2 linked regions of the Struthio camelus genome follow. The protein of the gene in region 1 purifies or fractionates together with the protein of each later gene. This does not show direct contact. Links are inferred from orthologs where the notes say so. Each region holds a gene or a part of one and is shown on either strand. Other genes may lie near its edges. The genes, in order: RAPGEF2 and MAGI1.

Evidence for each region.
Region 2: the proteins of RAPGEF2 (region 1) and MAGI1 purify together in Homo sapiens (co-immunoprecipitation; 3 studies listed by BioGRID and IntAct, with this or other methods). This does not show direct contact. The link is inferred for Struthio camelus from reciprocal best matches to the Homo sapiens genes RAPGEF2 and MAGI1.

The regions. Positions count from the first base shown.
Region 1 is NC_090945.1:41,241,701-41,245,601, reverse strand, and holds the start of RAPGEF2 (rap guanine nucleotide exchange factor 2), read right to left. Parts: upstream 2,621-3,901; 5' UTR 2,550-2,620; coding exon 2,481-2,549; intron 1-2,480. UniProt on the Homo sapiens protein: Functions as a guanine nucleotide exchange factor (GEF), which activates Rap and Ras family of small GTPases by exchanging bound GDP for free GTP in a cAMP-dependent manner.
Region 2 is NC_090955.1:13,480,503-13,484,403, reverse strand, and holds the start of MAGI1 (membrane-associated guanylate kinase, WW and PDZ domain-containing protein 1), read left to right. Parts: upstream 1-1,026; 5' UTR 1,027-1,320; coding exon 1,321-1,609; intron 1,610-3,901. UniProt on the Homo sapiens protein: Plays a role in coupling actin fibers to cell junctions in endothelial cells, via its interaction with AMOTL2 and CDH5. May regulate acid-induced ASIC3 currents by modulating its expression at the cell surface.

The sequences.
Region 1 (3,901 bases):
TTGCACTATGGAAGAAGCTCGTGCAAAGTTAAATTTGCTTCTTTCAACAATTTTTATCACACTTAGCTGTTATCAAAACTGCGCAAATAAGAGCTTGCTATCCTACAGTCATTTCACTGCTCCCAGCTGAGCCTGCAGTGAAGTCATTTTGCTAAATTTGCACCATGACAATCTAGGGCAAAATAGTAATGTCAAACACATATTTACACCCTCATGAGATGGGAGAAGCTGAGCCACAGAACAGTTTGTTAAAGCAAATAAGCTCTCTCCTACTCTTTCCTGCCCTGACATGAATATGATAAATATATTTCCTCTTTCCTCAACCTAAAGATACCTAGTGATTTCTCAAAAAACAAAAATGAAAAGCTACCTTTACAAGATAACATGGCTTAAGTACAAGGAAAGGAAAACAGAGATAGTTAAGAGTTACTTTAAGGGAGGAGGAAAAAAAAGTCTTTGTGTCTTTATATAAAGAAAGGTTTGGAAAATTGTCCTTGATAGCTGCATTAGAAAGATACCATGCCCAACCACTTTTTTTTTTTTTTTTTCAAATTCCAACACTGTCGTAAGATAAAACTGAAATAATTCCCAGAAAGGAAAACAAAGATTAATAAAAACCCCTCCTCAACCCGCTCCATTCAGATGAGACACTCATGAAAACGGAAAGGGAATTTTCCTTCTTTAGGCCCTGCTCTCATCAGGAGCAACAGGAGGGCACATCTGACCACCAGTTTCAAGTATTTCCAGTGCTAATAACACATTATGTTTCCCACAAATTCGGTCTTATTTGTGGACTGTTCTGGTCGGTGTCAGCTTCATGGCTTTGAGGGTGGGTTTCTTTTCCCGAGGAGACGGCCACAGCAGGCTCTCAGTCTGCTGATTCTTGAAGTTTTACAGCATTAATGCAGCCCTGGCGTTCCCGATTTAGCTCCCTGCTCCATGCCCTTCACACTGGCTTTATCCCTGCATTCAAGCTAATTTCTCCACCGCCTCACTTCTCTCCCTCTCCCCCCCCCCCCCCAACTGGCAAGGACACAACAAAGTTTGCCAGCGCGCTCGGCCTGCCCCCGGGGAAGTTTTGCCTCCCCAGGCCCAGTCTGACGGCCCAGGCGCTACCCGAGCGCCTGGTTTCTGAGCAATCACCAGTCTCCTCCGGTCAGACAACTGCCCACCTCCCCAGGTCGGACACCGCCGCCGCAGTCCCCTCGCGGGAACGAACGCCTCTGCCAGCAAAAGGAGTCTCGCTGCAAGTTCGCAAGCGGCGTCTTTCCCAAGAGAGAGCAGTCAGGCTCCTCTGCCTTTCACAACATACCAAAAGGCTGGTTCTAACACTGAAGGCAAACAGACATTTGGAAAGCAAAGGTCAGACAAGGACAGAGAAACAGCTTCAGCACCGCAAAAATACATTCCAGAATAACTTTAAAAAAGAAAAAAAAGGGGGGTGGGTGGGGAGGAAAATATGGACAAAACACATACTAAATGTAATGCCTATGCAGCCAGTATATTTTTTTCCATAGGCGCTTTTATTTTCTCACACATATTCCATGAGCATCTGGATAAAAATAACTTTACCACAATGACGTATCTACAGTAGGAGGAATGACTTATGGGTGCAGACTGAAAGTCAAGGTTTTCTCTTTGCCCCCAATTTGAAAACGTCACCAGCCAATCAGAAGCTGGGCAAAATAATCAGTAATAACATCTCTTCCTAAAAATCAGAACACACCAAGTTCTCAGGGAGGAGAACAAGCCTTGGGAAAACAGGACAGATGGTGCTACAACTCCAAGCGAAGTAACTCCTTGTATCATTAGCTATCGAACTGCAGCTTGATGTGGGGATCAGCGTAAAGCTTATTAGTCTTTAGACAGCTGGCAGCAGTCGCCACTGCAGTAACCGCTCTGGAGCAGAAGGCACTCGTTCACTTTAGCTGTTTTTCAGGTCATGTTAAGTCAAAACGCGTCTACGCGTCCGCTTGCGCCCCAGCCCCTCATTTAACCTCTTTTAAGGCTCTGCAAGCGCGGTTAAGCTTAGGGCAGCAAACACCTTCCCCAGCTCCTTCGCGTATCCCGAGAGGGCGGGCGGCAGGGGCAGCAGCGCAGCCCCACGCCGGTGCCGCTGCGCGGGGGTCGCGCCCTGCCCCGCCGAGCGGCCGCCGCCCCGCGCGCCCGCAACGCTGCCGAGCGCAGCGGCGCCCCGGCTGCACAGCGCGCCGCGCAGAAAACTCGGAGAACACAACGTGCGCGCACCTATTTTCTGTTTTGTTTTACCCGGAAGCAATGTTCAACAGCAGACCCGCGACCGTCGTCCCCCGCCCCCCCCCGGCCCCACAAACACGCTCCCCCCTCCGCCCCAGGTCGGGGGCGCGGAGGAAAGCGCCCCCCTTCCCTCCCCGCCGGCTCGTGTCTCGGGGGAGGACGAGCCCCGCGGCCGGCACCGGCCCCGCGGCGCCCCCTCGGCGGCGGGGGCCGGGGGCGCCTACCTGGGGGCTCCTCTCCGCCGGGTTCTTCATCACCGCCTGGCGGAAGCTGTTATCCACGTAGGACGCCATCGCGCCCCGCCCGGTGCCCGCCGCCCGCCGCCGCTGCCCGGCGGGGCGGGAGGGCCGGCCGCGGCCTGGCGCTGCTGCTCCCGCTGCTGCTCCCGCTGCTGCCGCCGCCGCCGGGGCGCTGCGCTGCGCTCCGCTCCGCGCGGGGACACCGAGGGCGGCGCGGCGCCGCGGGCTCCGCAGCGCCGCCGCCCGGAGGAGGCCTCAGCGGCGGCCGAGCCCCAGCCCCAACCCCAGCCCCGCCGGCAGCGGCGACAACGGCGCGGGGGCGCCCGCCGCGGGGGGCGCCTGGCGGCGGCAGCGGCGGCGGCGGCGGCTCCGCGCTCCCGCTCTAGCCGGCTCTGCGCCTCCCGCCGTCCCGCTCCGCCGCATCCCCCCCGGCGGCGCCGCTGCCGCCGCCGCCGCCTCCCATCCGGGGCTGCTGTGGGGGCTCCGCGCCCGCCTCGGCCACGGGGAAGTTGCTGGCGCGGCGCGGCGGGGCGGGGCGGCGGCGGCGGCGGGGCGGGCCGGGGGCGGGCCGGGGGACCGCGGCGGGCCGCCCCCCCCTCCCCGCCCCAGCCCGGGGCTCCCCGCCGCCGCCGCCGCCGCCGCCCTGCGCGGCCGGGGCTGCCCCCCCCCCCCCCCCCCCCGCCGACAACGGGCTTTGTCCGGAGTTTTTGCTCTGCGTTTGCTTCCGAAATAGGCACTCGGCCGCGCTTGCATGTCTGGTTTGGTTTGCTTTTTTCCTTTCTTTTGGTTTTTTTTTTTTCCTCCCCCCTCTCTCCCAGGCTTTAGTTGCAGTTGATATAATAGAAAATTGTCACTTTTCCTTTATCCCCGCTGGAAAGCTGCCCTCTGAACAAGGGGGGGGGGGGGGGTAGCACCTGGATGGTGTTTGACGCGCGCCTGCTCGGCTGGGCGAGGCGGAGGCGGAGGGTGTACCTGCCGCCCCGGCTTGGCTCCTGCTGCCTCCCTTTGATTCGCCGTATCTGCTCTTTCCTTTGGGACAAGAAACTGAGGATAGTAGTTGCTGTTTGCACCGTTGATGCGATCCTGTTTAGGTACGCCTATAAAATCCCTCCTCCGCAGACGAGGCAGCCTTCCTTCACTCAGGGCACCCAGTCTTTTTTGTTTTTGTTTGTTTTTTAATTTTTCTCTCAGCTAGCACTCTGCTACCCAGCATTTTTCCGTGCATTTGCCTTAGGAAGAGTACCGACACAGTGATCCCAGGAGCTTTTTGCCTCCCCCCACCCCCCGCCCCAGCCTGTTTTCTGGCTGCTTTTTCAGGCATGCTCCGAGAGCTTCTGGGTGGTTTTCCGCGTTTCAGCCCAGACAGGCTCCCGCCAGCCCGTTGTCAGGGCTGCCTGGCTGGATGC
Region 2 (3,901 bases), on another chromosome or scaffold:
TTCAGGTTTTGGAAGCAGGGAGCATGACCTGGAAGAGCCAGCTGGTGCAAGCACACTTACTTATTTTCTGTTTGAGTTTTGCATTAAAGTTCTAGGCAACTTTGAAGAGTTGTGGCCAAGGGCAAATAAATTGATGCATGTCTTCTCCACCGCAAGGACCTCAGTATAGGTCTGTCCCAGTTCGACATAATTATACTGGGGAAATAAGTAAGGATATTATTAAAACGCATGCACCTCAGAAATTGAAAAGTGGAGAACTAAAGATCTGTGTTGGCTTTAATTCAGCCTTGCACAAGCGCTTTGATACCACTTTTAATTATAGACTTGTGTAAGGTTTTCCTCAGGACTTCTGCCTCATTTTGTCCCATCCTCTAACGACCCCCTACTGCAAGTGCAGGTGAGCAGTGATTTTTAGAGGTTTGCAACTTGGCCAGCTCTGGAAACGCTCCCAGGAGAGTGAAGGAGCCCTCTCCTCCCCCTTGCCAATCTTCCCCGAAACATGAGCTGCTCCGTGAGATTACAGAGGCTGAACTTCTCAATGGGCTTTCAGGAACTCTCAGTGAAGCAGGGGGCGTGCGAGGGGGGAAGCATACTCGCAACTGAGCCCGTCCTTAGCAAGGAATTGTTCCTGCTGACATTTTAAAAACAGAATCAATCCAAGGTGCGCGCTTGGCGCCGCTCCTTTTTGGGGAGGAGGAAAAAAAAAGAAAAGAAAAAAGTTGTCTGCGAGTGCAAGCAGGGCCTTTAAAACCGGGAAGAGTGAGACAACCTGAACTACGGCCCTCGCGGCCGGGGCCGGGGCCGGGGCCGGGGCCGGGGCCGGGGCGGGCCGGGGAGGAGTGTGCGGAAGGCGCCTGCGCCGGCGGCCCCGAGCGCGGTGCAGCGGGGTAAAGCGAAATGTAACAAAACAACCGGAGTCTTTGTATCGCCTTAAAGGCGCCGCGCAGCGCCCGCGCAGAGGAGGCGGGCAAGGGTGGTGGCGAGGGGGGGACAACAGCAAACAAAACAAAAGCGAGGGGTAGGAGGAGCCAGCGGAGGGCGGATTTATTGAGTTAGTTTTTTTTTCTTTTTTTTTAACACGAGGGGAAAAAAAAAAAAAAGGAAAAGGGACTAGGGGGCAGGCGAAGGCAGGCGCGCGCCCTCCGCGGGCGCGGAGCCATGCGGGCCGCGCGCGGCCGGAGCGGGGCGCGGCGCGGGCGGTGATGGCTTGAGCGGCGGCGGGGCACGGCGCGGCACGGCGCGGTCTATGAGCCAGCGGCTGGGCGCCCCGCTGCGCACCTGCTTACCGTGCGCCGGGGCCGGCGGAGGGCCGCGCTCAGCATGTCGCGAGTCGTCCAGAAGAAGAACCACTGGGCCAGCCGGGTGCGGCAGTGCTCGCTGAGCCGCGGGCCCGGCGGGCAGCTGGGCTTCGCCCTGCTCGGCGGCGCGGAGCACGGCGAGTTCCCCTACGCGGGCGCGGTGGCGGCGGGGGGCGGCGAGGCGGCGCTGAGCGAGGGCGAGCTGCTGCTGGAGGTGCAGGGGGTCCGCGTCTCGGGGCTGCCGCGCTACGACGTGCTGGAAGTGATCCGCAGCTGCAAGGACCCCATCGCCGTCAAAGCCGTCAGACAAGGTGCGAGGGGGGCACCGGGGGGCACCGGGCGGCGGGGGGGGGGGGAAGGGGGGGCTGCCGCGGCTCGGCTCGGCTCGACTCGGCCCGCGCTCCGCCGCGGCCAACTTTGTTCTTGGCCAGGAAGTTTTGGGTACCGAGGCGAGGGGCGAGCATTAGGGCGACCGCGAAAGGGGAGCGCCCCTGGGTGCTGCTTGTGTCGGTGGTGTGCAAGCGTCTGGGTACGTGCACACTGCGGTAGTGTGCGAGGGGGTGTGTGTGTGTGTATATATGCACGCACATATATAGTGTGTGTGTGTGTATATAAATATATATATATATACACACATGTACTTGCATACAGTCACGTTATCGTACCGAATCAGCCTGCAGTTTCCTGGCCTGCAGCGAGCAATGCCGTGAGACTTTCTCCAAAGCGCGCGGGAGCCTCCAGCCCGCGGTCCTGCGATGCCGAGCGGAAGCGGCCGAGGCCGGGGGCTCGCTCCGTGGGGCGAGCGAGGCACGTCCGTGCCCGGCCCGGACCCGCAGGGCTGTGCGGGAGGATGCTGCTCCCCCGGCAGCGGCTGCATGCGACGTGTGTTGGCTCACGTGGAGCGCGGTTGCGGGCTGGCGGCCGCATCGCCGCGGGGGGACGGGCAGAGCGGCCACCAGTGCCCGTGGGATGCTTCTCTGAAGTCGGGCTGAAAGTTGGCTTGGGCTGGCTCTTCCGTAGGTGAGGACACATCTGGGCTCTCACCCCGCAGAGCGGCGGCGGGAGGAGGTGGATTGCTTTCGGATTTAGCTGTAGAAAAGGATAGGAAGAGCCTTCCCATGTGAGTTTTTTTTTTTTTTTTTTTAAGTCCCACTTCATGCCTGTGTACAGGCAGCAGTTGTTTAACAGGTTAGCATAAGAGGCCTGGCTGATAGGTTTGTAGTTTCCAGGGCAGGACTTGCATTTAGTGCCAGGAAACTGTTACTGTTGCGACAGCTGCTGAGGTTATTTGGCTGGGCAGGATAAACAGGAATGTGCTGCAACACCTGTAGGTGCGGGTGGCGGAGCAGCGCACCCCAGGGTCATCGATAACTGCAGGAAGGAAGCGAAGTTTTCCTAGGAGCGTTTGGGAGGTTCTTTAGGAGAGAGTTTATTATTATCCAGACACATACACATCCCAAACTACAGGGCATGTTTTCAACCTGGTCAGTTGCTGGAGATGCAGCAGCTAAAAGATCTTTTAACTTTGTTGATAGGCCCTTGTTGTTATGGTAGGTTGGCAGGAGGGTCCTCTGAAGCCTTGTCCGCCAGCCTGATTTACGAGCTGCTCTGGATGCACTTGTTTCACGGCCGTTGCTCAAACTCCCACCGTTGGAGTAAATCACCGCGATGGTGTGTCCTGCTCGGCATGGCACTTGTGCCCTGTAATCCTGCTCTGCCCTCTGCTTTCTTCTTCCAGGGATGATAGCAGCTCAGAATTGCCCCAAATCTTATATATCAAAATTACTGTTAGTGTTAAGTGTTGAAACCCTAAGTTGGCAGAAATATTCCAACAAGCAGTGCTGGACGCCAATGAAAACTGTTTTCTTTAAGCAAATGCCTATTTTCCCTGCTGCATTTTCTCTGCTACACTGGAAACCGGGGAGTGAAACTGATTTGCTGATTTTCATTGCCCGGGAGGGGAGCGAGAGAGTAAAATAAAGAGAAGTATGAGGAAATTATGCAGATTTTTACATGCTGATTGTTTTAGCAGAAGGGTTAGCGTGCAGCTTCTGTTGATGCAATGGGATCAGTGTTGTGGGCAAAGGAAAGTGGGTAAGAGACGAGCAATTTGTGATTAAACTTTTTTTTTTGTTGAAAACTTTACTTAGTCCAAATGGAAACTCGTCATGGGACTATACCAGAAATGACAGAATTTAGAGGTGAATATGTCTCGGCTCTAGGATGCAGTGTCTGGTCAAAATGAGTCAGAGAGCTGTTTTTTTCTCATAGTAGCTGGGTTCACCTGGGACTTGGGAGAAAAAGGTTCAAAGCCCTGCCTGGAGCCAGGGCAGGAACTTGAACCTTGGACCTTCCTCCTCCCGGAGTGAGAACCAAGCCCCTGGCTATTATGAGATCATATTTTCCTTTTTTTTTTTTTTTTAAATGCTTTATTAGAGTGGAATATATAATAGGATTTTTTTTTTAATCACTGAATATTTTTGTGGTTTAGAAAGCCATTCCTTGTGCCTCTCCTAATGATAGCGTAGCATCTGCATGGTGTTCTGCACGGAGTGGGGAACTCCCTCGTGGATCAGGATCATATGTGTAGGAAAGGAGAGAGT